Mus musculus: one gene and its partners. The protein of the gene in region 2 purifies or fractionates together with the protein of the main gene of each other region. This does not show direct contact. Links are inferred from orthologs where the notes say so. Each region holds a gene or a part of one and is shown on either strand. Other genes may lie near its edges. The genes, in order: Stk3, Slmap, Pdcd10 and Stk4.

The links.
Region 1: the proteins of Slmap (region 2) and Stk3 purify together in Homo sapiens (affinity purification with western blotting; 3 studies listed by BioGRID and IntAct, with this or other methods). This does not show direct contact. The link is inferred for Mus musculus from reciprocal best matches to the Homo sapiens genes SLMAP and STK3.
Region 3: the proteins of Slmap (region 2) and Pdcd10 purify together in Homo sapiens (affinity purification with mass spectrometry; 3 studies listed by BioGRID and IntAct, counting the BioPlex papers as one, with this or other methods). This does not show direct contact. The link is inferred for Mus musculus from reciprocal best matches to the Homo sapiens genes SLMAP and PDCD10.
Region 4: the proteins of Slmap (region 2) and Stk4 purify together in Homo sapiens (co-immunoprecipitation; 3 studies listed by BioGRID and IntAct, with this or other methods). This does not show direct contact. The link is inferred for Mus musculus from reciprocal best matches to the Homo sapiens genes SLMAP and STK4.

The regions. Positions count from the first base shown.
Region 1 is NC_000081.6:35,150,573-35,158,358, forward strand, and holds the start of Stk3 (serine/threonine-protein kinase 3), read right to left. Parts: upstream 5,235-7,786; 5' UTR 4,981-5,234; coding exon 4,955-4,980; intron 1-4,954. UniProt on the Homo sapiens protein: Stress-activated, pro-apoptotic kinase which, following caspase-cleavage, enters the nucleus and induces chromatin condensation followed by internucleosomal DNA fragmentation.
Region 2 is NC_000080.6:26,530,066-26,537,827, forward strand, and holds the start of Slmap (sarcolemmal membrane-associated protein), read right to left. Parts: upstream 4,560-7,762; 5' UTR 3,461-4,559; coding exon 3,263-3,460; intron 1-3,262. UniProt on the Homo sapiens protein: Associates with the striatin-interacting phosphatase and kinase (STRIPAK) core complex, forming the extended (SIKE1:SLMAP)STRIPAK complex.
Region 3 is NC_000069.6:75,552,735-75,560,532, reverse strand, and holds the start of Pdcd10 (programmed cell death protein 10), read left to right. Parts: upstream 1-3,680; 5' UTR 3,681-3,811; intron 3,812-7,798. UniProt on the Homo sapiens protein: Promotes cell proliferation. Modulates apoptotic pathways. Increases mitogen-activated protein kinase activity and STK26 activity. Important for cell migration, and for normal structure and assembly of the Golgi complex.
Region 4 is NC_000068.7:164,082,831-164,090,156, forward strand, and holds part of Stk4 (serine/threonine-protein kinase 4 precursor), read left to right. Parts: exon of another isoform or gene 1-799; coding exon 800-928; intron 929-3,664; coding exon 3,665-3,779; intron 3,780-6,010; coding exon 6,011-6,175; intron 6,176-7,326. UniProt on the Homo sapiens protein: Stress-activated, pro-apoptotic kinase which, following caspase-cleavage, enters the nucleus and induces chromatin condensation followed by internucleosomal DNA fragmentation.

The DNA of each region.
Region 1 (7,786 bases), on a different chromosome or scaffold from region 2:
GATGAGGAACTTAGGAGGAGAGGAAGAAGGAAGGGACAGAAAAGGGATTGATAATACCAAGGATTAGTCAAGAGGCCTTAGGAAAACCTATTATTAGGTAAGCTTACTTTAAAATACATATGTAATTTATTAAAGCCTTCTTGAATGAGCATTGATTACTTCAAAAAAGAAAAAAAAAAAAGCCAGAAAGATGGCTCAGCAGTTAAAGGCACTTGCCACAAAGCCTGACAACATGAGTTCAATTCCCAAGACCAACATGGTAGGAGGAAATAACTGGCTCCCACATGTGCATGTGTATGTGTATGTATGTGTGTGTGTATATATATATACATATACATACACATATGCATATACATAAATATATATCACACAAATACAAACATACACTTTACTTCAATAAAGCTAATTGCAGCATAATCTGGTTCATAGTCATATTTTTTCTTTTACTTCAGTACTTGTAAATCCTATGCCTCATTTCTAAAGAACAAAGAATAAATTAATCATTGCCCAAAGTCACTAGAGACTCAGTTTGCCTACAGTCTCAATGTGCTGCTGAAGTCTACTCACCTGGAAGTGTTCCATAGGCCACTGTCACAATCCTCTCCATAAGGAAAAGGTGATTTTATTCACTGGTCTAACACAGATCAACAGAAGTGTGGGCTCAACTCCCCAGAGCCACAAAAATTGAGCTAAATAAACTAAAATAGGATTAAACTGGAACCTGCCCTAAGTCTTCCCCCTAAGTTAGCTCTGCTAAGCTGTTTATGAGTCTGAAAGTTCACCAAAGACAACTCCATCTTCAGCCATGAATAGAAATATCTGACTTATGATTATTTTCATTTTCAATTATGCAAATATTCTCTGAACCGCTAATTCTTTTACTTCCATCTTCACTTTCCTTCCTTCCCATCATCCACTCATAGCATTTCTTCAGTTTACAGCTTGAAGTTGCCTATCGTGAAAGGATGTGTCAACAGCTTACTCACACGCCTTTCCACTGTCTTCACTGTTCCACATCAACTTTTTCTACTACACGCTAATTAATTAATTTCAAATTTTACATAATTTTTATTTAAAATTTGCCAATTTTAAATATAGTTGAAAGCAAGACCCATTTGGTAAATCATGTCTCTCTGACAATGATAACCATCCTTGCTTCAGCAAAAATTATACAAAATGCTGCAGAATGCTGGGCCATCTTGGGGGTGGGAAGGGATGCAATTGAGAAGAGATGCATACCGAGGGTTTCATATGTATTTAGAATATTGCATTTCTTAAGCTGAATGCTGATACATAAGTACTTATTAAATTAGTTCTCATTATGTTTTAGATCCCTAAAATTTTGTAATGCAAAAAGAATATAGCACACAATCAAATGAATATCATATTAGGAGTCCTGAGGAGTATCTCAGGTTGGACAGAAGTATTCAGAGAAGAAACTTTTGAAGCAGGCTTTAAAGGAAGAATAAAACAGACTACAGGAAAAAATGATAATGCTGATAGCAATAACAAACCTTTCTTTCTTTCTTTCTTTTCTTTTCTTTTTTTCTTCCCTCCTGCCCCCCCCCAACCTCCCTCCCCTTTGAGACAGTATCTTTCTCTATAATCCAAGCTAGCCTGGACTATACTGCATGTAGCCAAGGCTGCCCTCAAATCTATAGTGATCTTCCCTTCTCAGCCTATGGACTAGGATTACAGGCATGCACCAGCATAGTAAGCTGACACAAACTTTTTTAAAGGAACGGCACAGATCAAAGCAAAACTAGGCAAGCCCCTGCCCTACAGCCCAAATAAAGGCTTCATCTTGTCAGATAGTAACAGAATGAGCTGGGAGGAGACCACAGACTGGATATCTAACAGAGGGGAAAAGCCAAACCTGGAATGATATTTTAGCAAAATAAACTGGAAACTACATGCAGGAAAAGTAAAGCCAACTGTGTTCTATGGAGTCCTGGTTCTGCAAGACAGCAAAGGGACAAGCGTCTAGAAGCCAGGCCCCATACCCTGCCACTACTTCAAAGCACAGCCCTTCCACTGTCAAACAGTTTTTGAAAAGTGCAACACGGAAGTGCCCAGCTGGGAGGCACTGCTGCAACTCAAGTGTGTTAGTCCCTCTGAAATATAGTAGTCATCTTAAAAATGAGAAGGGGAAACAAAAAGTGAACCCACAAACTTGTTAATAGAAAATTTTCTGGGACCTAATGGGAAACTAAATAAAAGGAGGAAGGACTAGCCCCACATGAAAAAAAAAAAAAAAATCAAACCGTCAACTAAGAGCAGCAACTAATCATACTGGCTCAGACGAGAACAGCCCAGCTCTGCCATGGAAATGCTTCTGAAATACTAAGACAGTGATACTCCCGGCATTCCTACTGAGATTAGAAATGGTGAGCAGAGGGATCCAGAAGGTGTAGAAACAATGACCACTATGTGATAGAATTATAAACGGCACCACTCTACATAATAAAGGAATATACCACTTTTGCAGCCCATCACATCTGGTGCTCTGAGTTCACTTATAAATAAAATACAAGCTACCACGCTGAACTGAACATGCTGTGAAGCACTTCACATGAGCCCATTTCATTCCCATGATACAGTTTACAGGTGAAGACATTTACATTTAGAACTAGCATAGGAAGTGGTAGGGCCAGGATTATTATTTCCAAAAGTGAATACCCAAAGCAGGGTATGTAGCAATCTTATCACATAAAAATGTTTCAGATAGACCATGCAGATGAGGGTTCATGAGCCTTCTAAACAGCAGAACAAAATACCTAATGAGGCTCTGAGAACAAAAGCCCAACATTAAGTCACAATGAGTAAACTTCCTAGCAAACAATAAGATTTCAAAAATGGTAGTTATGCTTCATGATAGACAACAAAGGTCAAAGAGGCTACACAGAAACTCACTGTCAGTAACACACAAGCTTCAATTTGGTGAATTCCTAGTCTCTTCATCTATAAAATGAGATTTTATAATCTTTTTCTAATGCAACCTACTGCATAGAGTTGTTGTGAGGATAAACACTATTAATTTGGAAATGCTATAAAATAAAACACTGAGATACTAAGATATAAAAGATTAGCAGTCTGTATCTTTTGCTTATTGCAAATGTCTTCTTGTTGGGACACCAAGATAACGCACTAGATAAAGACACCGGCCACCAAGCCAGATCACCTGAGTTTAAGCCCCAGAACTCAGTGAAAGGAGAGAAACAACTCCTGTAAGCTGTGCTGACTTACACACACGTCATGGCCTGGGTTTACAGAAACACACACACATGAGGTGGAGGGCAGGGATACCAAATCAACAAAATGGAATTTTAAAAACAATCCCTTCCTGCACAGGAACTATATCCTAGTCCCAACTATTCCTGAGTCAAAGGCAGAAGGAGCTCTTAAACCCAGGCACTCAAGCCACACTGCACAACATATGAGGGGAAAAACAAAAGAACTAAAAGAATTGCATTTCTAGATTAAAATGAGTCTTTGAAGAAATGGAAATTTAAAATGTAAAGTTTTATGTGCAAGCATGGCTTTGTAAAGTATAAGTCACGATGGAATTGTCACCCACAACTTCTGATTGTCCAGGTTCACTAATGTCAAGTGCAGGCATTTTCTTACAGCTATAATGAAACTGATAATTTACAGTACAGCCAACCAGCACAGATCTTTTATTTCAATTCAGTCATTCCAGCTGGCCTATGCCATAGTCTCAAAGATCTCCCCTTTACTGCCCTTCCAAAACAGAAAGAAAAAAAAGTTTCAGGTTTTCTTCTGTTATTGTGGGGAAGGCGAGTATCCAGGGACTACCAGAGGAAAGACACCAATAACATGCTAGAATCTAACAACTGACTTGCTTCCAGGGCCCAGAAGGATAGCCTGTCCCTTCTGGGAAACTGTCCACATCCTCCCCTTTTTTGCATCTGAACAGATGGTTTCCAGAAACCAAGGCTCACATGTCTAATCACACAATTCACAACGGTTCTCAAAGTGCCTACCTTTTTAACGATTCCACCTCATGAGTCTAACACCTTACATCTAAATATCTCTAGATATTAGAGCACATGAAGACTTTAATCTTCACTATAGCACTCTCTTAGACAGTTTTGTAAATTATAAATGAAAGTGAGGTTAAATGTTTTACCCAGCGTCAAACAATTATTTTATTCATTCATGGAGAACAGGGAGAAGACATTATGAACGTTTATCAATGGACATTTAGTTTCCTAAGATGATTGAAATGATTAGTTCAAACATATTGTACACAGATGCATCCAATATGTCCATGATTAAACATAAACAATATATAGCATACCAAAGTATCACTGTTTTTATGTGCAAAACTATATGGGGGAGAGGTTCTAAGTTAACATTCCATCTATCTTGGATCCATAAATTCTTTAGAACTTTGGGGGGAGGGGGGAAACACCTGTCATTGCTGCACATCCATAATGTTTTACATTCTGCGTGGCTATTAATATACTTAATTCCTTAAACTGTAAATAAGCGATCTGTCTTCACAAAGTGAATGGTTATATTATTAAGAAGACTTGATCGAGAGAGAGAGAGAGAGAGAGAGAGAGAGAGAGAGTGTGAGAGAGAGAGAGAGAGAGAGAGAGAGAGAGAATAAGAGAAGCGTGCATTGATGTCCTTATCTCCAGGTTTCTGGAATTTACTACTCAAACCCTCCTAGCCACCAGAAGGGCCGGGAACCCAGCGAGGGCCACTCAATTTGCGGCGCACCAGGCCCTCAAGACGTCGGCACGGAGACTCGGCGTCCCCTCTGGGTCCCTGGCCTCGCAGAGGGACGGAGCCGAACGGTGGGCGCCTGGACCAGGCTGCGCTCAGCGCCGAGCAGGCGGGGACAGGGTCGCGGCGGCAGGCCGGGCCTAGTAGCCCCCGCCCCGCGCCGCTGCTTCCGTCCTCATCCCGCTCCCGCCGTCGTTACCTCTTGGACGCCGGCGGCTGCTCCATGGCGGCCGGTGGCAGAAAGAAGGGCCGAATGGACCGTGAAGGCCGTAGGGAGGAAAGGAGCCCGGGAGCAGCCGGCCGAACGCAAGGGATCACACCGGGAAACTCGAACCAACTTTCACGTAACTCCGCGGCGGATCTCCCTCCCGCTCCTCAACGCGGTTCCTCCCGGCCGCCCCGCCCCGCCCCTCGGCCGTGGCCTGCAGCTCCGAGCTGGTGGGAAGAGGCCGGCGCAGCGAGGGTGGGCGGGACGGAGCGCGGACAGGGAGGGTGGGCGGAGCGTGTCCCGGGAAAGTGGGCGGAACCTAGCGCGGTCCAGAAGAGTGGGCGGGCCCTAGCTCAGCCAGGGATAGTGAACAGGATGCGCCCTGGAAGGCGGGCGGGCCTTAGCAGGGCTAGGGAGGGTGGGCGGAGCGCAGCCCGGGAAGGGTGGGCGGGTCCAAGCGCTGGTGAGAGTAGTGGAGAAAGGCCACCAAAAGGAGTGCCCAGCTCAGAAAGAAGATGTCTTGCTACCAGAGTGAGACTTTGGCAACCCAAAAGCTACTGTGCTGGTGGAGGGGTGCTAGTCCACTAGAGATTTGACTCATTTCTCAGGATTCCCCAAGAATACATGCCAATCATCTTGTAAATCTGTTTGAAGTAAAACTGCCCTCACTTCCCTCTCTTGTCCTGTTTATAATTATTAGTTATTATTAGCTACGTTCCCCTGCCCCCCAAGCCAATTGGCATTTGTAACTATAGTAGTTGGGATACTTCTGGAAATTCTGGTTGATTTTGATTGTATACAAGCATAATAATTACAGTCCAATGACAGAAAATATTTACTGCAGTGATCTCTTGGTGCACAAATTTAGAACACCAGAGTCTTGCTGGATGCCCTGTTGGGTAACATGGAAAGCCCATGACTAGTTATAGTGCTTGGAAAAAGATACTAAAGGAATATCTTTCTTTTTTTCTTGGGTCCCCGACCCCGACAGCCCTAACCCCCATTGAACTTGACCCCTTACACATTCATTTGTCTACTATTTAACCATAAAATACACACACACATCTTCTCACAACTATACAAATGAGTTTGCTTATTTTTTTTTCTAGAATATTCTTTAAAACGAATTGGGCAAAGTTTTCTTAGAGGTTGGAGCCATGTGTATGAAGTCAATATTAGTCAAAATGAGTATCAACTGAAACTAAATAAGACACACACCTTGATATCTATTTCATCTACTCAGGACAATAGGAACAATAACAAAAACTAAGTGATTAAAATGTCAATACTGGGCCATGAGGGGGTTCTGTAAGCAAAGGCACTTGCCACACAATCCTGATGAGTCTACAAGTGTAAAGAGAGAACAGACTTTACAAAGTTGTCCTTGGCTTACACACACACACACCCTTGCCACATCTCTCTCACACATGCACACACTTCCACACCCTCATCATGCACACACACAGTAATGCCAGCCTTTATATATATGAGTATGCTGTAATTTTCCTCAGACATACCAGAAGACGGCATCAGATCCCACTACAAATGGTTGTGAGCCGCATGTGGTTGCTGGGAATTGAACTCACATCCTCTGGAACAGAAGTCAGTGCTCTTAACCATTGAACCCCAGTACCAGCTTTTAAAATGTCAGTACTGGGAATCACCACTGAAACTCTCCTGCCCACCTCGCATTCTCCTAACTTCCACATCAACCTCATTTTTTTCCTGTTTCAGCAGAAAGCATCTTGAGAAGTTCATCTCATGATTTTTTTTCAATTTATCAAACATTAAGATGGGCTCAGTTTATCATCCTTTACAATGGGTTCCTTGTCTTAGCAACTTTATCCTCCAGGAAGTCATCCCAGTCCAGCCAAGCACAGCAGTCAGTGGTGTTGGCGGCATATGCTTATGATTGGTGCTCTGTGCTGAACATTTTCTTCTCAGGCAGTCATCCAACCTAAATGTGAGTCATCTGAGAGCCAACCCATAGCATCCTCTCTCTCTGCTTGTCACCTAAGCAACAGCCTGACACATCCAGCTCTGGGCTGGGGTTTTGCTATCCAGGTTTGCAATCCTATCCTACTGTACCAGCTTCCTGTAGTGAATGCCAACGAGTACCGCGCTTCCCAGGCCACTTGTGCTTTGGGGATAAATGCAGGAGAAAGTCAGGAAGAAAGGAACTCGAATATTTGTTTATTCTTCTGATGATCATCTACTGAGGTCACCTAAAGTGTTCCTTTCAAGACAAGCTAACAACTTGCCTCCCTTGCCCTTGTCCCTCTGGGACTAGGGGTTTGTGGTGCTTTGAATGAGAATGGCTCACATAGATTCTAATAGCTCCTGGTTTTATCAGATTGTAAACTCATCCAAGATACCTCTGAAGACACCCTATAATTTCACCCATCAGAAAAAAGCAATGGAGAAGGGGTTTCTTAGCAACTCTTGAGAGCCTACATCTACAATTAATCAAAAAGAGAAGTTACAATGACTCTTCTCTTTCCTTTAATGTGACCAGTTATTCTGACTCAATCATGGACTGGTCTAGAAATCAATCCCTATCAGCCAGCTGAGTTAACCTAGAGTGTAGTCTCCTCTGTTACTGGAAAGCGAGTGCTTTCTATCAATTCTCAAAGGCACCCCATACACCTGGTAGCCAGACTTAGTGTTTGACCTTTGCCAATTAGCAGCTGAATTAAATACCTGGGACATTCCAGCAGACAACTTTAATCTTGTTGCTTTTAACTTTTGGAGACAAGATTGGTTGCCTTCACACAGGATCGCTTTCAACAAGCACAGCTATTCACTGTTGTAGCCCCCGAATTT
Region 2 (7,762 bases):
ACACAGGGTCTTCTCTGGACCATGTCTCAAAATTCCAACACATGCTTCAAGTATTCATTACTTATTCCAGCTTTTACTAGGCCTTCATAATGGCAACTACAAAACAGGTCTCCAACAAAGTCAAACAAAGGACACATTACTCCAGTTGTTCCCTCCAAGGCAAAATGCCTATTGGAACAAAGTTACCAACTTCACTACCTTCTATTTTTAACATTTCTTCTATAGCTGTCATTGTATTTAACAATTTCTGGACTTGGGATGTAGCTCAGTTGGTAGAGTGCTTTCTTAGCCTGTACAAAGTCCTGGGTTCAGTCCTCAACACTAATAAAACTGGATGTAGAGGCCTGAGTCCCCACTCTCTGGGCCTGTACTGAGTGTGAAGTGAGCTCAGCATACAGGAGCTCCTGTCTAAAAAGGAAAAAAAAAGTACTGCTTTCCCAAGACGCCACAGCACACAGCAGTTCAAAGGGCGCTGATGTTGGCTCATGCTTCCCCACGAACACCCTTGTACGAAATCCTGAGCTTTAACACGTGCCAAGCACCGGGTACTATGTGATTTGCATAAATAGTCTGAATCCCAAGACAGCAAAGGGGGCAGTGAGCATGGCTCAGTGGCAGAACTAGTGTTTAGTGCAGACGAGCCCAAAATTTCTTTTTATCCCAAAAATAAAAACTTTAAGAAGGCAATACTATCCACAGATAAGAAAACTCCGGCTGGGCAGAGGTGGCACAGGCCTTTAATCTCAGCACTTGGGAGGCAGAGGCAGGTGGATTTCTGAGTTCAAGGTCAGCCTAGGCTACAGTACAAAGTGAGTTCCAGGACAGCCAGGGCTACACAGAGAAACCCTGTCTTGAAAAAAAGAAAAGAAAGAAAAGAAAAGAAAACTCAGGCTTAGTAGTGTTTTAAAACAATCTTTCCTGAGATGATACCTATGAGTGGATTCTTGCATTTTTATGCATCATAAATTTCAAGGAATATATATTAGGTCTGGTGGGGGGCGGCTGTCATGAGCCTGACACAGGAGAGCTCTTAAAACTTCACACACAAAGCAATAAATAGTATTTGGACAAACTGATTTGGTTTTCTTTGTTATCTCCCAGGATCTGGCCCAGAATACATGCTCAATAAAAAAACCTGTCTGTCTAAGCCAATACTTTAAAATTAATTCCTAAAATAATTTGATCACAAAGGGAAAACCTAACAGATTGAAACTGTTTAAACTAAATTAGGTGGTATAATAATAATTACACAAAATATACCGTCAAGCCCTTAGTGCTATTTTAGCCAATGACACAAAAGGAAAAAAAGTAAAAGAGGGAGAAATAAACTAAGTCTACCGTGAGAACTCTGCAGATCCTCTCTTCATCCTGAGTTTCTGAGACAGAGCTTCGTTATATACCTGAGCTGGTGATCTTAAGCTCATTAAGCAAACTGGGCTAGCCTCGAACATGATGCCTTCTTCCTGCCTTCTGAGAGACAGGCTTACAGGGGAGAGCCACTGCACCAGGCACGAGTTTTCAACTAAGAACTGCAGTGGGCAAAGCACGTGCTGTAAGCAAATCTGTCATCTGATTCGGCTGGACCTGTTTCCCAAGCACACAAAAATGTAAAAATGTAAAAGTTGACTGTATTTAGTCACTAGCAGCCAACTAATACTGGAATTCAATAACGAACTCCAGAGTCATTTACAAAGAATCACAGGTCATCCACGAATCATCCAAATGTTAGCTTTCAGGGAAGAGAAAAGTGTCTCTCTTATGGGTTAAAGAGCCTCTGGTGTAACTCAGAAAAAGTTAACACACTTTTCAGTTTTCATCCTACACACAGAATAGGTTATAACCACTATGCAAGCACACAGCACTTGGGGATCTTTCCTTCCTTTTTTTTTTTTTTAGATAGCATTTACTTAGTAATTCCTTAATTCAGTAGCTGCCCTAGCATTACTTTCTTCCTCTAAAGGCTCAAGTTTCTTTCATTTCAAAACACCACTCTTGAAGACAAATTCTTCTCTTAAAAAAAAAAAAAAAAAAAAAGACTTACTCATGTCACTCAGAAAGAGGGGGCGAAAAGTCAAGAGACAAAACTGGAGACAGTCCTATTAGTCTTATGTAACTTAGTTTGAGTTGGAATTATTTCAGTAGTTCAACGAAAGCCTTAGGTTTAGGCCCAAAGAAGAGTTCTTTAAAATATTCTCCATTCGTGCAAATTCTTGAAAAACTAAAAAGATCCTTTTTATTTTAAAATAAGTAACTAGCAAAGTACAGTGCCAAGATAAACAAGGTAAATTGGATTAAAAATTAAAAGCAAGGCCCAGCATGGTGAGCTTTAATTCCAGCACTTGGGAGGCAGAGGCAGGGAAATCTCTGAGTTTGAGGCCAGCCTGATCTACAGAGTGAGTTCCAGGCCAGTTGGTCCCTGTCTTTAAAATATATGTGTGTGTGTGTGTGTGTGTGTGTGTGTGTGTGTGTGTATTAGACAATATTGGATATAATCTAAAAATAAGCTAACTTATTAATACTAATTTTTGCATATCATCATATAATTACACATTATCTACCAAAGAAATTGAGAAGTGACTTTCAAGAGCAATAGATTTCTGTTGATCCAACTTGCAAACAGAACTCCAAAGATGTAGTTACTTACTCTAGCTTAATTAAATTGCCTTTAATATTTACAAATTATTTCATCGGGGCAAGTAAGTATCAATCGTTACAAACAGTAACTTTGCACTCCAGTTATCCTACCAGACAAGGTCCTGAGTTGAATTCAACTACAAGCCATGTGTTAACTACATTTCACCATAGACACTTGAGCCTCGATGTAACAGAGGCCACAAATTCCGGCATTGCTCTGGGAACCACTGCTTGCTTAATCAAGCACCGACCTGCAGATTCACCCTTCTAAAAGGACTGAAAGTCAGAGGTCAAGTTTCACTATCTACCTTTCCTAAACGAATTAGGGTTTGGGATTTCACTGGGAATGACCAAGTTTATCAAGAAGCCATCGCCCTGCCGAGACATTTAGTAACAATACCTTCTCTGTTTTTCATTCAACCACTTCGATTCCATTTCCACTAGAATTCAGACACACACAAAAAGCTGATTCCGAGGCCTCGCAGAAAAGTGTCCTCTGGGAAGAAACCCTGAGATCGTTGCATACATTACACCTCTCAGAGAAGGTGAAGGGAAAGGAAAGGAAAGGAAAGGAAAGGAAAGGAAAGGAAAGGAAAGGAAAGACTGTCAAACACTATAGCGACATTACCTTGCTCGTCTTGTGATCAAACCAGACGAGGGCATGGTTCCTTGACAGCACTTTGCAATCAAAGGTGGCATTATTCTGCGCTGGTCGACAGCGTGCCACCGAGCGGCCGATCTTGATGGGCTCGTCCAGGTAGACATGACGCTCCTGAAACGGGTGCGAGTTCGGGCGGCAAGTGAAGATGGCCAAGGCTGACGGCATCGAGGACAGGCTGGGGGGTGTCTGGACCAGGGACAATGAGGAGCTCCTCCAGGTTCGGAATGCTCTTCTCAAGCCTACACCCCCTAACCCCCCAAAATTTTTAAATTAAAACAAACTGCGCATTGTCTAAGCATAACCAGTGAACATCAACAACTCTTCAATTGGGCAGGAGGACAAGCCAGCGCAAGCCCCATCACCTCCTTTAAAATACAGAGGCACCTTGACCAAAAAAAGTCCCCAACTAGCAGCTTTCAGTCCATCTTCCCTAGGAAGAAAAGGCTCAAACATTGGGCAGCTTCGGCCAAGAAAACTCCTGGAAGACAGTTTGGGGACAGGAGGTATCCGAGCAGATGAGTCACACACCAGTTCTTGTGTTTTGTTTGAGATCCCGGCCGCTTGTCCCCTTCGGTAGCGGAAACGGTGCAGCACTGCAGCATGAAGAGGGTTGACTCGCGCAGCCAGGAAGGTCCTTCGGGGCTCAAGGAAGAGGCGCGGAGGACCTCCGGGCAGCCACCGCGGGGCCTCGGGGCTGAGAAGAGGTGCGGGGACGGACGAGGAGGACTAGAGGGCCAGCGGGCCGGGCTGCATTGCCCTGCTGCGCCGAGGCCGCCCGGGAGTGGCAGGGGTCCCCGGCCCAGCGTGAGCCGAGGCTGCGATCCCGGGCTGGAGGCGTGGGAGGGCTGCCGGGGCACGGGCGGCGTCTGGGTCGCGAGTCCCGGGCACCTGACGGGTGTCCCCGCGACCAGGGCGGGGACCCGGCTCTGCAGGCCGGTGCGGACAGAGCGAGGAGCTACCCCGGGGAGGCTCGGGCGACCGGGCGGGCGAGCGGGCCGACGGGCGGGCCGGCGGGAAGTTGGTTTCTCGGAGCTCTCGGGCTCTGCTGCTCAGCACATGGGCCACCTCCCCTCAGGAGCGTCCTCGCGAGGGTCGCATCGCAGGGACTGGCGGCTCCCGCAGGACGACGGGGTGGGGGAGGGAGGCTGGCCCGGAGGTGGAGGGAGAGGCCTGGAGGCCGGGGCTGGGTCCGCCGCAGCCTCCTCCACTCGCAGCCAGTGCGGCAAGCTCAGGCGGTGGCGGACGAGGCAGGAAACTTTCCGACCTAGGCGGGGAGACACCAAAACAAACGGCAGTCAGGGACCGGCGCCCGCTCGCCTCAGCCCTCGCCCCCTTCAGCCAGCCCCCGCCAGTCCCCGGCCGCTGCCTCCGACCTCGGGCGACCTCTCCTTGCTCAGGCTACGGGATTCCGGAGCCAGGACGGAACGTCGGCTCCTTCCTCCCTTGCCGCCACCGCCGCCACCACCTCCGCCGCCGCCTCAGCTTACCTTGCCAGCGTTGGCCGCCATAGTGACTCTGACTGAAACCTACCGGGTGCACCGCCACGGGAACGCGCACCCTTTTCAAGGGCCCTCCTCCGCCGGCTCCCGTGCCGTAGATAGGGGGTATCATGTGATTGACGCCGTGGAAGCCATGTTTGTCACTGGCAGGGAAGAAGGCAAGCTTATTTTTAACATGACCCCTGGCGCCATCTTTGTTAAGGGCCAGAAGCTTCAAAGCTCCAGACAACCTTAAGGGCCATTTTGGTTAAGGGCAAGAGAAACTTTGAGGGGTTGAATGTTTCAAAAGCACACACAGCGGCAACATATGAATAAGAAAGTACCTACAAGTACCTACGTGTACTAAGTGTGTTTACTACAGTTCTCACTGAAAATACTAACACGTGCGGAGAATAATTCCATGCAAAGGACATACTCATTAGCAGTCATCGTAGCTGTGGGCAACTGAGTCACTCACCACTGCTCTACAGATGACCAAATTCCACAAGTCCCTAGACTTAATGACACCTGAAGGACTTTCCTCCCTCTGCTAATTCACCGGGCTTTATGAATTCCATCCCAAATTCCTGTCCTTTTCACTGATGCGACTATGTTTCTCAGAACTCCTTCGTGGGTTCTAACGTGGAGAACAGAAAGTTGTGGGGGGTTTTTTGGAGTGGGGGAGGATTTTGTTGGGGTAATGGTAGGGTTAGTGACAGGGTTTCTCTGGCTGTCCAGGAGCCCTTTAAGTAGATCAAGCTGGCCTACAACTCAGAAATCTACCTGCCACTGCCTCCAGCGTGTTGGGATTAAAGGTGTGCGCCACCACACCCTACTTGAGACCAGAAAGTTTTAAAACACGTTTCCAAAGAGGGGTCAAGGTCGAAAGTTACTAATAGGAAAATACAGAGAATAACCCAACCAACAATCCTGAAGTCTGTGTTAAGCCTGGGAATTGCGAGGAGAAAGACCAGTATGTATGGAGTCATTGTTCCAAAGAAGAAAAAACCGTGGCTCGAGCTGAAAGAAAACCTTAGGAAAGACTGTAGAGAATCTTAATCTCTTCAAATCAGTGTTGACTTCATTCTTGAGATTCCTGTGACCACAGACTTCCCTGAGAAACGTTGGACATGGCTTTAAACTTCTTTAGGATACTTTTTCTCTTCTATAACATAATGACAAGACACAACCCCCTTGCAGAGAGGCTTTGTGGTGTCAAACCACATTAACAGTATTCATTTCATTGCTTCTGTAATGCTATGCTGTGTCTAAGTGACACAGATGAGCACAGCCTTAGTCTCTGCCCTCTGGTTATAGAACCAGTGTAGTGGGTTTGAAACTGAAGGAACAAAATAAGGCAAAGACTCTGATATATTCAGAGCTCTTCTAAAGGGAGGGAGGCAGGGACATCCTCCAAGGAGAAGTCACAAAAACTGAATGAAGAAAGGTTGAAGGACTATAATAAATACAGTATTTGTTGAATGGTTTTTCTAAATTGCCAGGAAGAGGGACATTAAGTAGTGAAATGAAGCTTTTAAAGGAATACACTCATGTGCCTGGCACAAAGGCTAAGTAAATATTCAATGCCTGAATGAAAATACCATGCTTGTTATTAGAGGATAAAGTAGGGGCAGCACAAAGTGAATTTGGACACAATAAGTAATGTATTATAAAGTCACACTAGGGGGGCTGGTGAGATAGCTCAGCAGTTAAGAGCACCAACTACTCTCCCGAAGGTCCTGAATTCAAATTCCAGCAACCCTCCATAACAAAATCTGACACCCTCTTCTGGAGTGTCTGCAGACAGCTACAGTGTACTTACAGATAATAAATAAATAGATCTTTAAAAAATAAAAAATGAAGTCACGCTAGAGTATGTGTGCATGCGTGGGCTCATGCTTGAAGCTTAAATTCATGGTAATATGAATGTCCAAGACCTGACCTTTCACACGTTTTTACAGTTCTTCATCATTTCAACAAATACATTGAATAACTACAGTATCCCAGGCATTTTGACCTAGAGAATAAAGATATACTGAAGAGTTTTATTATTAGAAGATGAAAATGTTTTGCTTCTGATAACTTTTAGCCTTAAAACAATAAAACAGACCAGGTGTGGTAGAGCATGCCTGTCTCTAATGAGGTGTGTGCACGAATTTTAAAGTTATTTATGCATTTTTTTGTTCATTCAACAAACATTTAATTGACTACCCACTAGGAGAGAGAAACTGTAAAATGACCTGGAATTTCAAAAGTGAAGAAGAGAGTGGAAAAAATGAATCCCTAAAGTTTCTTACAGTTTAGATGGAGACACAATAAGATCCTTGCAGTATTTGGAATAACTCAAAAGTATTGAGAGTACAGAAGAACAATGTAAACTGGAGCAGCATGGTGACCTGGCATTTGCATGGCCTTAGGTGCACCCTAGTAGCACAAATAGAAAATTAAAACCACCGGGCAGTGGTGGCACACGCCTCTCTCTAATCCCAGCATTTGGGAGGCAGAGGCAGGCAGATTTCTGAGTTCAAGGCCAGCCTGGTCTACAGAGTGAGTTCCAGGACAGCCAGGGCTATACAGAGAAACCCTATCTCAAAAAAAACTAAAAGAGGAGAGAGAGAGAGAGAGAGAGAGAGAGAGAGAGAGAGATAAAACCAAAATGTTGTAATAAGTCAGTTAATCTGGTACTAATGAGATTGTAGGGATAATCTCTTGTGCACTTTGTGCACTATGTAAAAGCATCACCTGTCAATGAAGAGCTGAATGGCCTATATAGCAGGAGAGAAAAGAATAGGAAGGCAGGATACCTGGCAAAGAGAGAGGAACTCTGGGAAAGACTCAGGCTCAGGAAGATGTGCCACCAATATGTAGGAGGAAGTCAGACATATGAAACTGAGGAGAGGTAACCAACTATGTGGCAGAACTTAGATCAGAATACACATGTAAATATAAGTTAAGAGGTATTTGGGAAGCAAGCCTAAGCTAATGCCAT
Region 3 (7,798 bases), on a different chromosome or scaffold from region 2:
AAGTAAGGGAATAAATATCACTTTAGTTCTGACTTCCCTTAAATTTTTTCTCCAAATAATAGCATAAATGTATTAGTTCTGTTTTTATAACCTATAACTGTTTAAAATTTAATGTATTAATGACTTCAGTGACTCACAAGTGCAAAAAATGTCATGTTCGCATTTTGAATATAGGTCTATAGAAATTAGTGGTTGAAAAAGGAAGGCTGTACTCTGTATTACATGCATTTAACACAAAATATTAAGTATCTTTTCTCTAATGTCTAGGGTATGTTTCTCAATCATTTTTATAAATATCTATTTCCCTGTTTCCAGTTCACTCCCAAACCATTTGATCTGGAACCTGTGAGTGGTTTCTCTGTTGTGTCAAGGACAGCCTCCAAACCTCCTGCTAGAAATGCATTCAAGTCAATTTACTTTCACTCCATAGACTTAGAATCAGAATTTTAAATTTAAAGAGAGGTCCAAAAGACAGTGCCATTTGAAATTAACCAAGTCTTTTGGCTAAAAGGGAGTCATCCCCTGAGCAGTTTCCACTGGATAGACCAGCAGGATAAATAATCTGCTTTATTTCATATATCATACTTTATATAAATTGAATGACCTTTCCCAACACTAACCAAGAAAAAAAAAACAGGTTATTTGAAATTGATATAAATGTTAATTAAACTAGATAAAGAGTTCAAGGTGAAATAACTGTCCAAGTATGATATACTCACAATTTGCTCTCATATAGAAACACAAGTCTTATTCCCAAAACAACACAAGAACTTAGTCCACTGACATTCCTAAATGGATCTGATCTCACAAACAGGGGAATATTAGGCATTTTAAAATTGAAATCTCATTCATTCTTAATGAGTCTGTAGTCTTAGGATATCTCAGAGCCTACTATTTATGTAGTTAGATGAGATTTTAAAAACATCTTCATTTCAGCTGTTTTCATGTAAATTGTTTTCTATCCATTTATTTTCTTTGTTATTTACTGATTTCCATCAAATTCTTTCAAAAGGTCATTCTTACAAAGGCTCTAAAAGAACTTCATTGCCAGTCACATAATTAACTATTATCTTTTTTTTGTGTGTGTGGAGGGAATAACCAGAGACAACAGGTATTCAGTTTCCAAGTGAATCAGCAAAGAGCCTGAACATCTAAGACGGACTCAGGACCATGCACCTACCATCACACATAACAAGGGCAAGGACAACCTTTTCCAAGTTTTATTAAACCACCAGATCACATTTTCTCTCCCAAAAGCATTTTCTGGAGATCACATAGCCAGATGGCTATGCCAATTAATAGGTTTCTAGTAGTATACCAAAGATAACATCCATCCTTACTGTCACTGCTAAGTTTAGTGGCTTCTATAGCTTTTTTCGAATACTTACATGATCTGCTTAATCTAAGCCTAGATATTTCTTGGTTTTGCTTATTTATTTATTTTTTAAGATTTCTCTGTGTGCCCAGGTCTTTGGTGTATTAGAATGTGGGAGAAAAGGATTTAATTAATTTAGTAGTGGGCATCTCTCATCAGTATCTGCACTTAGTAGGACTGAACCTTAAGTAATGGAGAGAATACCTTTGAGCCACTTTAGTTTTAGAAGGCATCTTGTGTGCACTGCAAAAACAAAATTCAAAATCTTGCAGTAAACCAGAATAGTATGACAAAAGAAGAAAATAGAAGGTGATTTCTGGATCTTATTGACCCCTCTTTAAACAATCTCAAGTATTCTGGCACCCTATGGAATAGTCAACTGTCACAAGAAAGCCATTTCAGAGCAGAGTATGCTGCAATATGCTACATGACTAACAGGCATATAATCTGGGACACTATTTCACAACAAAAAAATGAACTAAGCACGTAGAATTTTAGTACTTTTCCAACCCAAAAGGCTGTAATCTGTCATAGGTGCAAAGGTAGGATTGACTACCTAACATAACAAGTATTACAACATAATTCCACCCGTATGTATTACTAGCATTCAAAAGAGTATACACACAATGAGAATGAACTATTATTGTGTGATACTATATACCTCTAAAATGAGAGCCCATTATAAAATACTAAAGGTTATCATTTTACACATACTCTCTTCAATAGAGGAAAGCTCCTCCACACAGTTCCCTTGTACTCCTGTTTTTAAAACACGAACAAACGTTACCGGACACAAATGAGAGAATAAGAAGCAGCGAGGAAGTACACCATATGTTCCCGTTGTAGGCTAAACCCAGGTCTTTGTTTCAATATTCCAGCGCCAGCAGGAAGGAAAAGCCAAATACCCACCCATTTCAATTTATTTTCTCATTAATGCTGGTAAAAGTTATACTTAGGATAGGTTTAGCCGGAACCCATCCTATCTTATTATTTGCTTCTTTAACCCATATCTTTTGCAATCCAAAGACCCTGCAATACAACCGGTTATCTTGGATAGACTGTCCGTGGCAGGACAATCTGATAAACTAACACAAGCGTCAGGCACTGAAGAGGACAAAGTTATTTTCTTAGTGAAACAGTTACAAAGTGGTTCTCTATCAATGCCAATTTTGCCTTTTTAACAGCTACGCATCTAGCTTGACACCATCCACCTGGTACTCAATTAGCAGGGCTTTCTTCAATCTTGTGATCTCCCAGACCAGTTTTAATGGTGCAACTCAAAACAAAATCCTTAACCACGCCCTTAATATCCCAGGCAGAGTTACCTTTTGTTTTTTGTTTTTTTTCTCTCTCTCTACCAAAGTCTGTAATTGTACGTAATTGTACTGAAAAGGTTTGCACCGCGATCCTAAGTCAACATAGCACTCTTTCCTCCAGTATCCAGGCGTTCCTATTGTCAGATGCCTTCCTCCCCAGGTTGCTGTGCTGTAGCCCGCAAGTGGCGCCCACGCTTACCTCCTTCACACCTGCAATCCCCGCTCGGGATGCTGGAGAGGATGCTGGGCAGGCTGAGACTGCTCCGGATGCTGCTCTTGCCTCTCTCCAGGGAAACTACAGACTAGGCTGAGCTGAAGCTTCTTCTGAGATTCAAGCTCCGCCTTCCCCGCCTCTAATTGGCCGAAGCTCGGGCTGCGGCTCCTCCCACTGCCATCTGCGCAGCCTAGGCGCAGAGCGGTACCCGAGGTCTCTTAGTTCCTGGTGCTCTGACCCCTTCATTTCGGACTTTCTCCCCTCTGGCATCGCACCTGGCCCTTCCTCAGGTCCTGCTTAGCTCTTTTAGCCGGCTGGTCCAGTGAACACGGGAGTGGGCTGTCCTTTGGGGGTATGGGGGTACTGTTGCTTCGGAGTAGGCGGAGCCCACCGGTCTAGCCCCTAGAGCCTTCCTCCCCGCCTACCCATGGACTCAGCCCAGCCTCCTGTCGCTTGCTACCTCTGGCCCCCCGCCCTTTTCTTTACACCCATCCGAGGGCACCTCCCATCGGTGGGCGTGGCGTTGTGGGCTATCTTCTCATTCTGATTGGTGCAGGTGAGACTCGGCCCCGCCCTCCCTCGTTTCTGGGCGCGCTCTCTCTTCATCTCCTCCCCTCCCTCAAAGACAGGGAACTCTCTTCTGATTTGCTAGAAGTGTCCCCACCTATTGCCTAAGGCGTTCTCGCACAGCCTTCTGGGAAATGTAGTCTTACTATTGCAGGAAGTGCTAACGGAAATGGAGGGCGGAACTACAAATCCCCATCGGGCCTTGCGCGACTCCTGCTGGGCAGGATTCCGGACAACGCCTGGTTCCTTTCGGGTCCTTCCGGCGTCGCCGGAGTGAATTGATCCGGGAGTTGAAGAGGGCTCCAAAGGTGGGAAGTGAAGTCCGTGCCTCAGTTGCCGGTAAGGCGAGGTTTCTCGGTTCGGGTCCGCACGGCTCCGTGGGCAGCCAGAGCGGCCTGGGGTCAGGCGGGGACCGAGGCGGAGGTGCTGAGGCTAGGCTCTGGCCGGCGGGGCGGACGGGTGGGGAGCCGGGCCTTGTGGGCGTCAGCGAGGTCTCTACGCGAGCTGCGGAAAGCTGGGTTTGTAAATGCCTCCTGCCCAGCCCGGCCCGGCGCCTCCAGGAAGTCCGCTGTGGGTTTGGGTGGAGGGGAAGGGTGAGGTCGGCCTCCCGGGTCTCCACTGACCGAGGGGGCGGATGTGGTGGGGTGAGGTCCCGGGCAGGTGAGGCTAAAGCTTGGCTAGGCCTGGAGGGAGCGTGGGTGCCCGGGAGTCGCCTCCCGGTGTGGCTGGGGTTATGCCCTTTGAGGGAAGAAGAGAGACAGTGTTGACAGTTCCGACTCAGTTCCAATTTCCTCTCTGAGGAGGTGATTCTTAACTCGGAAGGTTTGTGCCTCTTGACTCCAATACGTCAGATGGATGTATACTTCTCAAGTGCCCTCGAAGCGCTTTCACTTTGGGATGCTAATGAGACTACTGTAGAAGCAAATGACGTGCCCAAGGTCACACAGATCTTCAGAGTCTAGTCCTCCGAAAGTCCAGTTTCTGACCAGAGTTGTCGGCTTAGGAAGAAAGAGTGGGGAGGTGGGTGGTAGTACTGGAAGCAGATAGAAGAAGTTGCAAAGTAGTGTGCCTGTTTGTCAGAAACGGTTGTGAGGTGCAGAGAGTTGGTTTGTTGACGTGGAGTGGAAGCTTTGCCAAAGCATCCTCTCTAATGTTCTGTAAAACAGGAAGGATCGCTTTAGCTTAGATCTTTACCCCTTTTTCTGGGGTCTACTGAATGATAACACTCACTTTCCACACGCCATTTTTAAAGGATAGATAATATTTAGGAATAGCTCAGTGTTGCCATTAAGAGAATAGTCCTTTTCATTTCTATTTTCTTACCATTTTCAAAAACTATGGGTGAAACTTTCACAGAACTTACTTTACAGATATTCATGCTTTCATTAAGTGAAAATTAAGTGCAGAATCTTGGAGAAATTGTACCATGTTCATTACAAGAAGTGACCCTTTGGGGGGGGGGGTCAGGTTTTTACTTTTCTCTCATTTTCTTCACTCCATGTGTAGACAGTAAAACATACACTTGTATATTTTCTTTTCTTGGCATCATCAGTGAGTTTTAATTCATTCTTATTTAATGTTAATGAATGATAAAAATGATGCTTCTATATTGAATGGAAAGAACTGCAGGCTTACTATGTAAATTAAAATATAAATACATAGTATGTACTGTAAGTATATATGCTATATATTGAATGTGCTTTGCTTGCCATGATTAATATTAATTTTTTTTTAATGCAAAGCTGTTTCTGGGATCAGAAGAACCAGTCAAAATGGTCTTGTTTGAAGGGGACTTTTAAAGAAAATGGAGAGTTGTGGTACCATAAAATGAAGCAAAATCAGGAATAATGTAACACCACACGTCACAGTAAGGGAAAAGTCACTAACAAAAGGGAAATTATCTGGGATTAATTGGTTTTGAAGTGGAGTTTGAAGTGCATTAATTTGAGTGGGCCATATGTAAGTCAGTGCTGGTAAAGCAAGAATGCTAATATATTTTCTAGATGACAGTGTGGACATTTGTTGTTTGCTGGGAAAGGTATGAAATAAGTTTTAAGTGGCACACAGCTGTGTTGGTTATGGAAGGACTTTTTTAACAACAAAAAAAGTTTTGTCTTTGATTTAGTCCTACTCCAACTCTGTCTGTATCTCTGAGGCCCATCATACTGTCCTGTTTCATCGTCACTACAGTGTAAGTGCTGAGATGAACAGTGAGATGAACAGAGAAGATGATTTTGAACATCCTTCAGGCTCTAGCTAGAGCTCACAGATCGGATGTTTGCCTGTAGTGTGCAGCTCTCTTTGCCCACATTTGTTCCCTTAAAGAGCTTTGCATCAACTCTCAGACACTATCCATTGCAGGACTTTGGAGGTTTTCCTTAAAGAGCCATCTCTCTCTTAAAGAGTAGTCTGTAAGAACAGGGTCTATATATTATTTATCTTTTTAGTCTTGGTAGAATAATTGAGTGGCTAAGGGGAATGGAAAAGGAATGGCTAGGTGACTTTCCCAAGGTCATATGACCTGGAAAAGATCAGCTTATAATTAATCCATGTATTTTCACTATAGGTTTTAATATTGTGTTCAAACTTCGATTATTTTATGTAAGAAAAAGACTGACCATTACAGATGTCACTATCTCCTTATTCTGTTTAATGCTACTAATTTGTCCTCAATTTCCTGAATGTCTCCAAACTTATTCTCAGCTGTCACCTTTTTTTCTCATATAAGTTTCTTCCTGATTTGGGGACAATTTTACAAATTCCAACTTTCCACCTGTCTAGTATAAGGGAGTTTTATTTTCTTTTACAGCAAAACTTCTGTGTAACTTAGCATTTTAGAAAACCTTGCTACTGCCTTTTTAAAAAGCAAATAAGATTCATTATAACAAAATATAGATATGGAAGAAGGTTTTTATGGACTCTATTCTTCCCTTAGATTTTAACTTCAAAACAATTATTTCACTTACCTTGTAGCTAAGGACACCAAAACTAGAAGTAAATTTACTCCTTGGGACTCAGAAGAATACAATGCATTGCTAAAGTCTTGGAAGGACTAGAGCCAAGATTTGAGTATAAACCTCTCCTATGTTTGTTTGTTTTAGTTGGTTGGTTGTGGTTATACCCAGGATTTAATACAACCTTGAGAGAAGATGATTTTGGGAAACTAACTTTCTAATTTCAGAGGAACTTATATTTTGCACTTCTTGTAAGTTATATTTGAAGCAGGGCAGTGGTAGGGTATGCCTTCAATTCTGGCACTTCAGAGGCATAAGCAAGTATATCTCTGAGTTCGAGACCAGCCTGGTGTATATAGAGTGAGTTCCAGGACAGCCAGGGCTACACAGAGAAACACTGTCTTGAAAAACGTTATAATTGAGGGATTTAAGGTAATATTTTACTTTTTTGAACATATGACACTTCTAAGATTAAAAATGTTTTTAAGTTTGCAAACAAAATTTTAAGGATATAAAAGGCTAGATTTTCTCTAGAAGACAAAATTCTGTAATTTTTCTCAGTAGCATACTAATATAATAAACCAGAGTAGATTCCCACTCTTCCCCATATAATTGACACTTACATACTATTGACACTTTTCACAGTAGGAGCTTATTATTTCTATACTGATTTAACAATGTTTTAACATCTCACTAAACATTATCGGAGCAAGGCCTTCTCACTTCTTCTATCTTAGCTCTGAGCTATGTATGTAGCCTTTACTCATCTGTTTTCTTACCAGTACACTTCCCAGTAGAGGATTGTGTTTGCTTTCAGTTTTGATGATGTGGTAAGGTTTATTATTAACCATGGTTTTTGCTAAATTCTAAGCTTACTTGGTACTTTTTGGATGATAGTCTGAATATTATTTGAATCTTCAATAACAACTTAATATTTACCTTACATAATGCAGTTTGCAGGAGATTAAGCAATTATTTATGTGTTGATAGAGTATTAGGGTTATTACAATAGGTGGTATTACTAAGAATTTTAAGCTAGTATATAAATTTTCTTCTGAAATATATAGAAGATGGTATAATTTTATACTTCATTGCATTTAAAATACTGTGTGTTTCAGACTTAGGGCAGTAGAATATTTATACACATTCATAAAAATAAAATTTAAAGTACTTCTATTAAGGCAATTAGAATTAATTTATTTGCTGCAATTGAAATGAATTTCATAATTAAATTTTATATAAACATAGGCATTTTATTTAAGCTACAAAACACACCTTGGCTGGCATCACAATATTAGCCTTATTTTTCAAGGCCACCTTTACATTTGGAGTATGGGAAGCCATTTTTTCGAAACTACCCAAAAGTGATTTG
Region 4 (7,326 bases), on a different chromosome or scaffold from region 2:
TTTCTTTTCTTTTCTTTTTTTTTTTTGGTTTTTCGAGACAGGGTTTCTCTGTGTAGCCCTGGCTGTCCTGGAACTCACTCTGTAGACCAGGCTGGCCTTGATCTTACAGAGATCTGCCAGCCTCAGTCTCCTGCGTGTTGGGATTAAAGGTGCCTGCCACCACCGCCCAGCATGTTTGGGAAATTTAAAAGATGATTTTTTCATATCACTGAATGCTGCCCGGGGTATTAATGAAAAAATGTCCATAAGGTTCTAGCGTGTTTCGAGTGAGCACCGTAGCTGTCTGGTTAGGGGGTTTGCATTTTGTTGTTGTCATCTTGTGAAGAAGACAGTTGAGGCACAAGGAGCCAACTTAGGTTATAATAATGTGTATCAGCAGTGGATTGCAGTCTGCCATCTTCTGATTCTAAACCTCTTGTTCTTGTAGCACTTAGACTGAATGAACATAGAACCTTGCTTTTGATAAGCTTTTTGGGGAAGATGAAACACGAGGCAAAAAGATTTGAATGTGCACTGTTCATCTGATTCTGGCACGAAAGAGACTTAGGTTTTCATGAGATTCCATGTTGTATGCCTTGCCGCACATGAGAGGACTAAAGACAGAGAGACTGGTAATAGAGTGGCCATAGAAAACACACATGTGTATTGTGTTGCTGTGAAGGGAAAACGAGCATCGCATTCAGACTGCATGGTTCAGATCATGGCAGCACTTCCACGAGCGTGGGTAATTCATGCGATTGTGCCACACCTGGCCTTGCCTCTCGGTGTCTTATGAATGATCTCCTTCCCCCAAACGCAGGTCTTATGGCAGCGTGTACAAGGCTATTCATAAAGAGACTGGCCAGATTGTTGCAATCAAGCAAGTGCCCGTGGAATCGGACCTGCAGGAGATAATCAAGGAAATCTCCATCATGCAGCAGTGTGACAGGTAAAGCCTCGGGTCCTCTGACAGACAGAGCTCGGCCAGCCTGGCGCCTACAGACTGGAGGGCGGGGCTGGGAACCGCAGGGCATGTTCTTTCTGAAAAATAGGAGAAAGCATGTATGCTTTTGTAGCTAGTTCAGTTTCCATTTTTGTATATTTCCTTCATCAGTCAGACCTTTTAGAGGTCTCTCTTACTTCCTATTGCACATGTAGCTGAGATAATTCAAATACTTTTTAGCTCCAGAAACCATAGCATAGCAGGTTGGTGTATAAAAAAGAGAATATTTGCTTAGGTACCGTTTCTTTTTTGCCGTTAAGAATGATTCGGGTCAAGAGTCCTTAAGTGTTTTATTTTTGAGGAACTAAGATTTGTCAAGCTCTAAGCAGGAAGTTGGCCCCAAAGTCAACCACAGAAGAGCACGTGATCTGCCCTGAAGTTCCATGACAACTTGCTGGTTGACGGAGCAGGCCTGGGCTCTGCTCTGTTAGATGTACAAGTACAGTGACGGACTGTGCCAGGTCCTGGGGTTTGGGGTGTGGGCGAGGGGCCGGGGGGGGGGGGGGGGGAGCATGGTCAGTCGCTCCGAGGCCAGTCTGGGCAGATGAGTCTGTTACCTCCTGTCCTCGTGTTCCTCAGGCTTCAGCGGTAGACTGGGCAGTGCATCTTGTTACTTTGCAGCGACCTCAGAGCTCCCTGACTTTGAAGTGCAGCTGCTGCTCATCTGCCTCTGCTTTATTTACTTATTTCTCTCTTTGTGGTTACTGTCTGTATGGTGCCTTGTACCGCACAAACTCCTCCACCCCGCCCCACAGCTGGATCGGTGGAATTAAGTTAGCAGGTTTTCTTCTTAGCCACATGATGTACTTACTCGAACTCTCTTTAGTTGGTGAATGGGAACTGTATCTAGACAGAGTATGGAAATGCTTCTAACTAAAGATTTGACTTTTAAAGATTTATATATTTTTACTTTTTATGTGTATGCCTGCATGTATGTATGAGGCCCACGTGTGGGCCTGAAGCCTGTGGAGGCTAGGAGATGGATGGTATCCAATCCTCTGGAATTGAGTTACGGACAGTTGTGAGCTGCCATGTGGGTGCTGGGAGCTGGGTCCTCTGCAAGAGCATCATGTGCTAAGAAATGATGTGTGAAGGTCTCTGTGTCAAACTGAATTAAAAAAAGACAGGGCAGAGTCATTGTGTCCTGGGAGTTTTGTCTGTTTGTTTGTTTCTTTGTTTTATTTATTTAGTTATTTTGTTTTTCGAGACAGGGTTTCTCTGTATAGTCTTGGCTGTCCTGGAACTCACTTTGTAGACCAGGCTGGCCTCAAACTCAGAAATCCGCCTGTCTCTGCCTCCCAAGTGCTGGGATTAAAGGCGTGCGCCACCACCGCCCGGCTCTTTGTTTTATTTTTCTGTCACTGTCTTTTGAGTAAAGGGAGGGTTTAGGGGACCTTTGTCTGGCTTACTAGAAAAAGTGGCCGGAGGAAGAGTGTCAGTAGGTTTCCTCTGTTCTCTGGGAGTTGACAGCCCAGGCATGAGCAGTGCAGGAAATGCTAGCCGGGGCAGTACAAGGCTGCACAGATCTTATCCCAACACTAAAGTCCGTGCCTACAGAGGAGAGGGAGCAGAGCACCCGGATTGGGAACCGCAGGCTCACTTACCTGTGCTTTCACGAAATCTCATTTTATGTGCCCTGTCTTCTTTGCCACTGGCACATGTCCCAAGGATGAAGGGGCGTTTGCAATCAAAAGTCAAGGAAGCCAGGATAGTTTTAGCTTCTTTTGTTGCTCTGCAACCCAGCTTTCAACAGTAGTCCAGCTGTTAATGGCACAGGTGTGGAGACAGCGTTCATTTTCCTGAGATGCTTGGCTTCTCACATATTTCTTACTTGGTGTCTCTCAGCAAATTTAAGACCAGGGGTCCAGATTTGATGCTAAGTAGTCTTCTTTCTTTATACTATACAGTGATGATCTTGTTACTCCCAATTATATCATGGCTTTGGAAAAAAAGAGAAAGAAGAAAGATTACTTTACGTCACTGTTACGGATCCCTTGGTGTATCTGTCCCTGTCTCACTGGGCGTTTGACTGTGTTTGCTTTGCTGGTTTATAGCTTAGCTTCCCCTTTCTTACGCTGTTTGTTGTTTTGTTTTTTTTTTTAATTTAAATTTCATGTCTGTGTATCACTTGCATGCCTGGTGCTAGAAGACAAAAGAGGACATTAGGTCCCTGGAACTAGCATTACAGACAGTTATGAGCCACCATGTGGGGTTGGGAACCAAACCCATGTCCTCTAGAAGATCAGCAAGTGCCCTTAACAGCTGATCCATGTCTCTACTCCCAGGATATATTACACTATGTATTAACCATTCCTCTAACATGTTCTGTGGACTTGTATTTAGTATGTGGTAGGCTGTTATTTATTTCTTAGGTTCCCTCATGTTGGCTGCTCACCTCATGTCTCCTTTATCAGGTCTGTGTTCATAGCTAATTTTTTGAGAATCTGTGATTCTTTTCTAAAGAAAAGTTATACACTTAGAAATACTGTTCCCTTGGTTTGAATCTGCATATTACTCTTAGGGAAAGCTATCGCTTGTCTTCTCCTCGAGAGATTGCTTTTGTTAGTCCTAACTAGAAATAATTCGTTTTTATGAAATGAGAAGTTACTTTCCATGCATTGAACAGAATGAATTAAAATGTTTGACGAACATTCCACTGAATTGTATTGTGTCTCTTTCCAGCCCTCACGTAGTCAAGTATTATGGCAGCTACTTTAAGAACACAGACCTGTGGATTGTTATGGAGTACTGTGGGGCTGGTTCTGTATCTGATATCATTCGGCTACGGAACAAGACGGTAAGCTTACCTCCTAGGACGGGGCTGAGGGAGAGCGGTTTCTCCCGCTTCTTCTGGCCTTTTGTGCGTGTGTAGAAACACACGGAGAAATGACTGTCATTTTCCCTTTTCCTTGGGTCTCTGCTCTCTTATACTCACCTCCCCCAACCTCAAACGAGGAGAATCTCAGTGTGGTCTCTTACCTTTGATCCCTCTGGCTCAGCCCGAGTGCTAGGTCCCGGGGTCAGCCACCTTGCTCGATTCCCTTCTAACCACGGCAGCTCGATACTGACTTGTTCCAGTGGGTTTTGCTTATTTCTTATTAGGCGAAACAGCTGTCAAACCATGGTTTAGGGATGAGTTTTCATTCTTTTATAAGGATTTCATGGGGAAGAGTAAGTAACCAGGAGCTGACAGTGTAGCCCAGGCTGGCCGTGGACTCACACTCCTCCTGTGTCATTCTCCCTACCATGCCTGGCTGCTCTAGAGTGACTTTTAAAAATACTTGATCTTTTAAAGGTTATATGATGGCAATTTCTGAATCTAATGATAGCTTAATACTAGCTTATTAGTCTACATGACTTATTTTGCTGTGTGTTACATAAAAACCATTTAGTGTGACCACTGCCAGCCACAGATGACTAGAAGTATTGTTTCAATTTGAAGAAATATGACCACAGAAAGACATAAAAAGTTGGCCGGGCAGTGGTGGCGCATGCCTTTAATCCCAGCACTTGGGAGGCAGAGGCAGGTGGGTTTCTGAGTTTGAAGTCAGCCTGGTCTATAGAGTGAGTTCCAGGACAACCAGGTCTACACAGAGAAACTCTGTCTCGAAAAACAAACAAACAAACAGACATAAAAGTTTAATATTTCTCATGATAGAACCAATCTTCAAAAAAAGAGAAAAAAGATAACAGTAGACTGATGGTACTGTTGTGCTAAGTGACATTGCCCAGGCTGAAACCACAGACACTGCTTGCTCTCTTGGCCTGGGTGTGTTCTGATGTGGATCTCAGCCTCTCATGTTTTATAAGCGTTGTCTATGTGGGGGTGGGGAGGGTAGATGCCAGGAAACTAGAATGGGGCCCACATGAGGCAGTGAAATTTTGACTTTAAGCAGAAAATTGCCTTACAATTAAATCTAAGTAGATGGTAGCTATATTTAACCCTGAAGTCATGATGGGTTGGGGATCTGACCACCTGTGAGACATCTGAAGTTCCCGTTCTGTTCCTTTGGGAGTCACTGTTGAGGTTCGCTTGCAGAACATTTCCCCTGCTGATCGTTAATGCTGAGATAACGTGCTGGTCTTTCCACTGCTTCCTCCAAGTTTCATATTTGTCCTTGTTTTGATGATTTCTCTCCTTACTAGTCCTCATTCAGCAATTTCAAGTCTTAGAATAAAAGTGAAAGAAAGTAGTGCCCCAAGTGCAGGCTGCTCCCTCTGATCCTGGGTCCCTGTGTGCACAGCTTACTCCCCACAGGCTGCTCCCTCTGATCCTGGGTCCCTGTGTGCACAGCTCACTCCCAAATGTGACTTGGTTGTCACACGGGAACTGTGTGAGGGTTTGATGGGATCTGTTTAGGACTTGAGTCTGCTCAGAGATCTGTGCCAGCCTCTAGCCTCTAGCACTGAGATTCTAGAGCAATTTCATTTACCACGGCTACAAGAGTAAACAATAAAAGCCAGGATTTTTTTTTTTTTTTTTAAAGATCTATTTTATTTACATGAGTACACTGTAGCTGTCTTCGGACATACCAGAAGAGGGCATCAGATCCCATTACAGATGGTTGTGAGCCACCATTTGTTTGCTGGGAATTGAACCCAGGACCTCTGGAAGAACAGCCCATGCTCTTAACTGCTGAGCCATCTCTCCAGCCCAAAAGCCAGTTTTTAATGGAGCATGTATCTGTAACAAGGAAGACTGCATTGTATGTTAGATTATAACAGAGAATGACCTAGGCATGGAGAAGGAAAGGATTCTGCTGTTTTGATAAGTGACATTTGGGCGAACTGAGGAAGGCCTGCAGTACAGATAGATGTAGGGAGGGAGAGCCTCAGGTAGATAGACCAGGCAGGTGAGAAGAGCCAGGGGACCAGAGCTCAGGGCTCGGAGTTCACAGGGAACAGGGAACGGGAAGGACAGAGCAAGGTTGAAGCAGCTGTGTGTCACGGAGTTTGGATGTAGCTTTTCTCTTTTCTCCTATTTGATGTTAACAGGCTTGAGACATCTTACTGTTTTTTGTTTTTCAGTTAACAGAAGATGAAATAGCTACAATATTACAATCAACTCTTAAGGGACTAGAATACCTTCATTTTATGAGAAAAATACACCGAGATATCAAGGCGGGAAATATTTTGCTAAACACAGAAGGCCATGCAAAGCTTGCAGACTTTGGAGTCGCAGGTCAACTTACAGTAAGTGGAAGTGGTGACTGGTACCAGTACTGTAGGCTGTGTCTTGAGAAGCCAATTCCAATAAGTGACTTTATGTGTGTGTGTGTGTGTGCGTGTGTGTGCGTGTGTGTGCGCATGCATGCATGCCTGTTGACTCACGTGCACATTTGTGTGCTGTGGAAGCCAGAGTTTATGTTGATTGTGGTAGTTGATCTCCACCTTCCTTTCTGAGACACTGTCCTTCACTGACTGGTCATTGATTCAGATAGGCTGACTGGCTGGTGAGCTCCAGGAGTCCGTCTGTGTCTGCCCACCAGTTAGGGGTTACGGGAGCATGCTATCGCATCCTGCGTTGTGTGGAGCTGGAGAACTGTACTCAGCTTTTCAGGGATACATGGCAAATGCCTTACTGACCGAGACATCACTCCAACCACTACTTTCTCACTTTTTAAAAATATAATACTTGCTTTAATTGTGTCAGTAGAAATGTGTAGGATTTACGAGTACATTATCTAAGAGCTAATAGGAGTCTTTGATCTTTTCTGAAATCCGGGTTCCATGTTTCAGTCCTCCTATAGAAATGAAAATACCATAAGAAATGAACCTTAGTTTAAATCTGATACATCAGGTACATAAAAGCTTCATTAAGCCAGACTGCTTTCCTCCAGCAAGGCAGGGACTCCTCCTATCTGCTTCCAAGCAGCTCAGCTGCTGCGCTAGAAGCCTCCTGCCTGCTTCAGTGTTGGCTCTTGATTTTCCTCCTGTTCGCCAGTGCTTGCCAGTGAGAAAGAAAACTGTTCAAAACGGAGGTGGAGGGTGGGGGTGGCATGGGAAGTGGATGGGTAGGGGGTTGGGAATTGGGGGTGGGGTGGTGAATGTGAAAGTCTATGTAGGAAAATGGAAACAGTTCTACAATTAAGCCAACCAGTTTCCCGGGCAGTACAGGGAAAACTGGGTCTCACCCTCCCCACGCCCCTTTTCTCCCCAGCTACAGATCTTTTGTTTTATTTTGTTTGGAGACAAGGTTTCACTCTAGCCCTGGCTGGTCTAGAACTCTGAATGTAGACCACCAGGCTGGCCTTGATAGAAATCTGCCTCCCAAGTGCTGGGACTAAAGGCCGGTGCCACCATGCCTATGACTTTTTAACTTGAGGCAACGTTCAGTTTCTTGT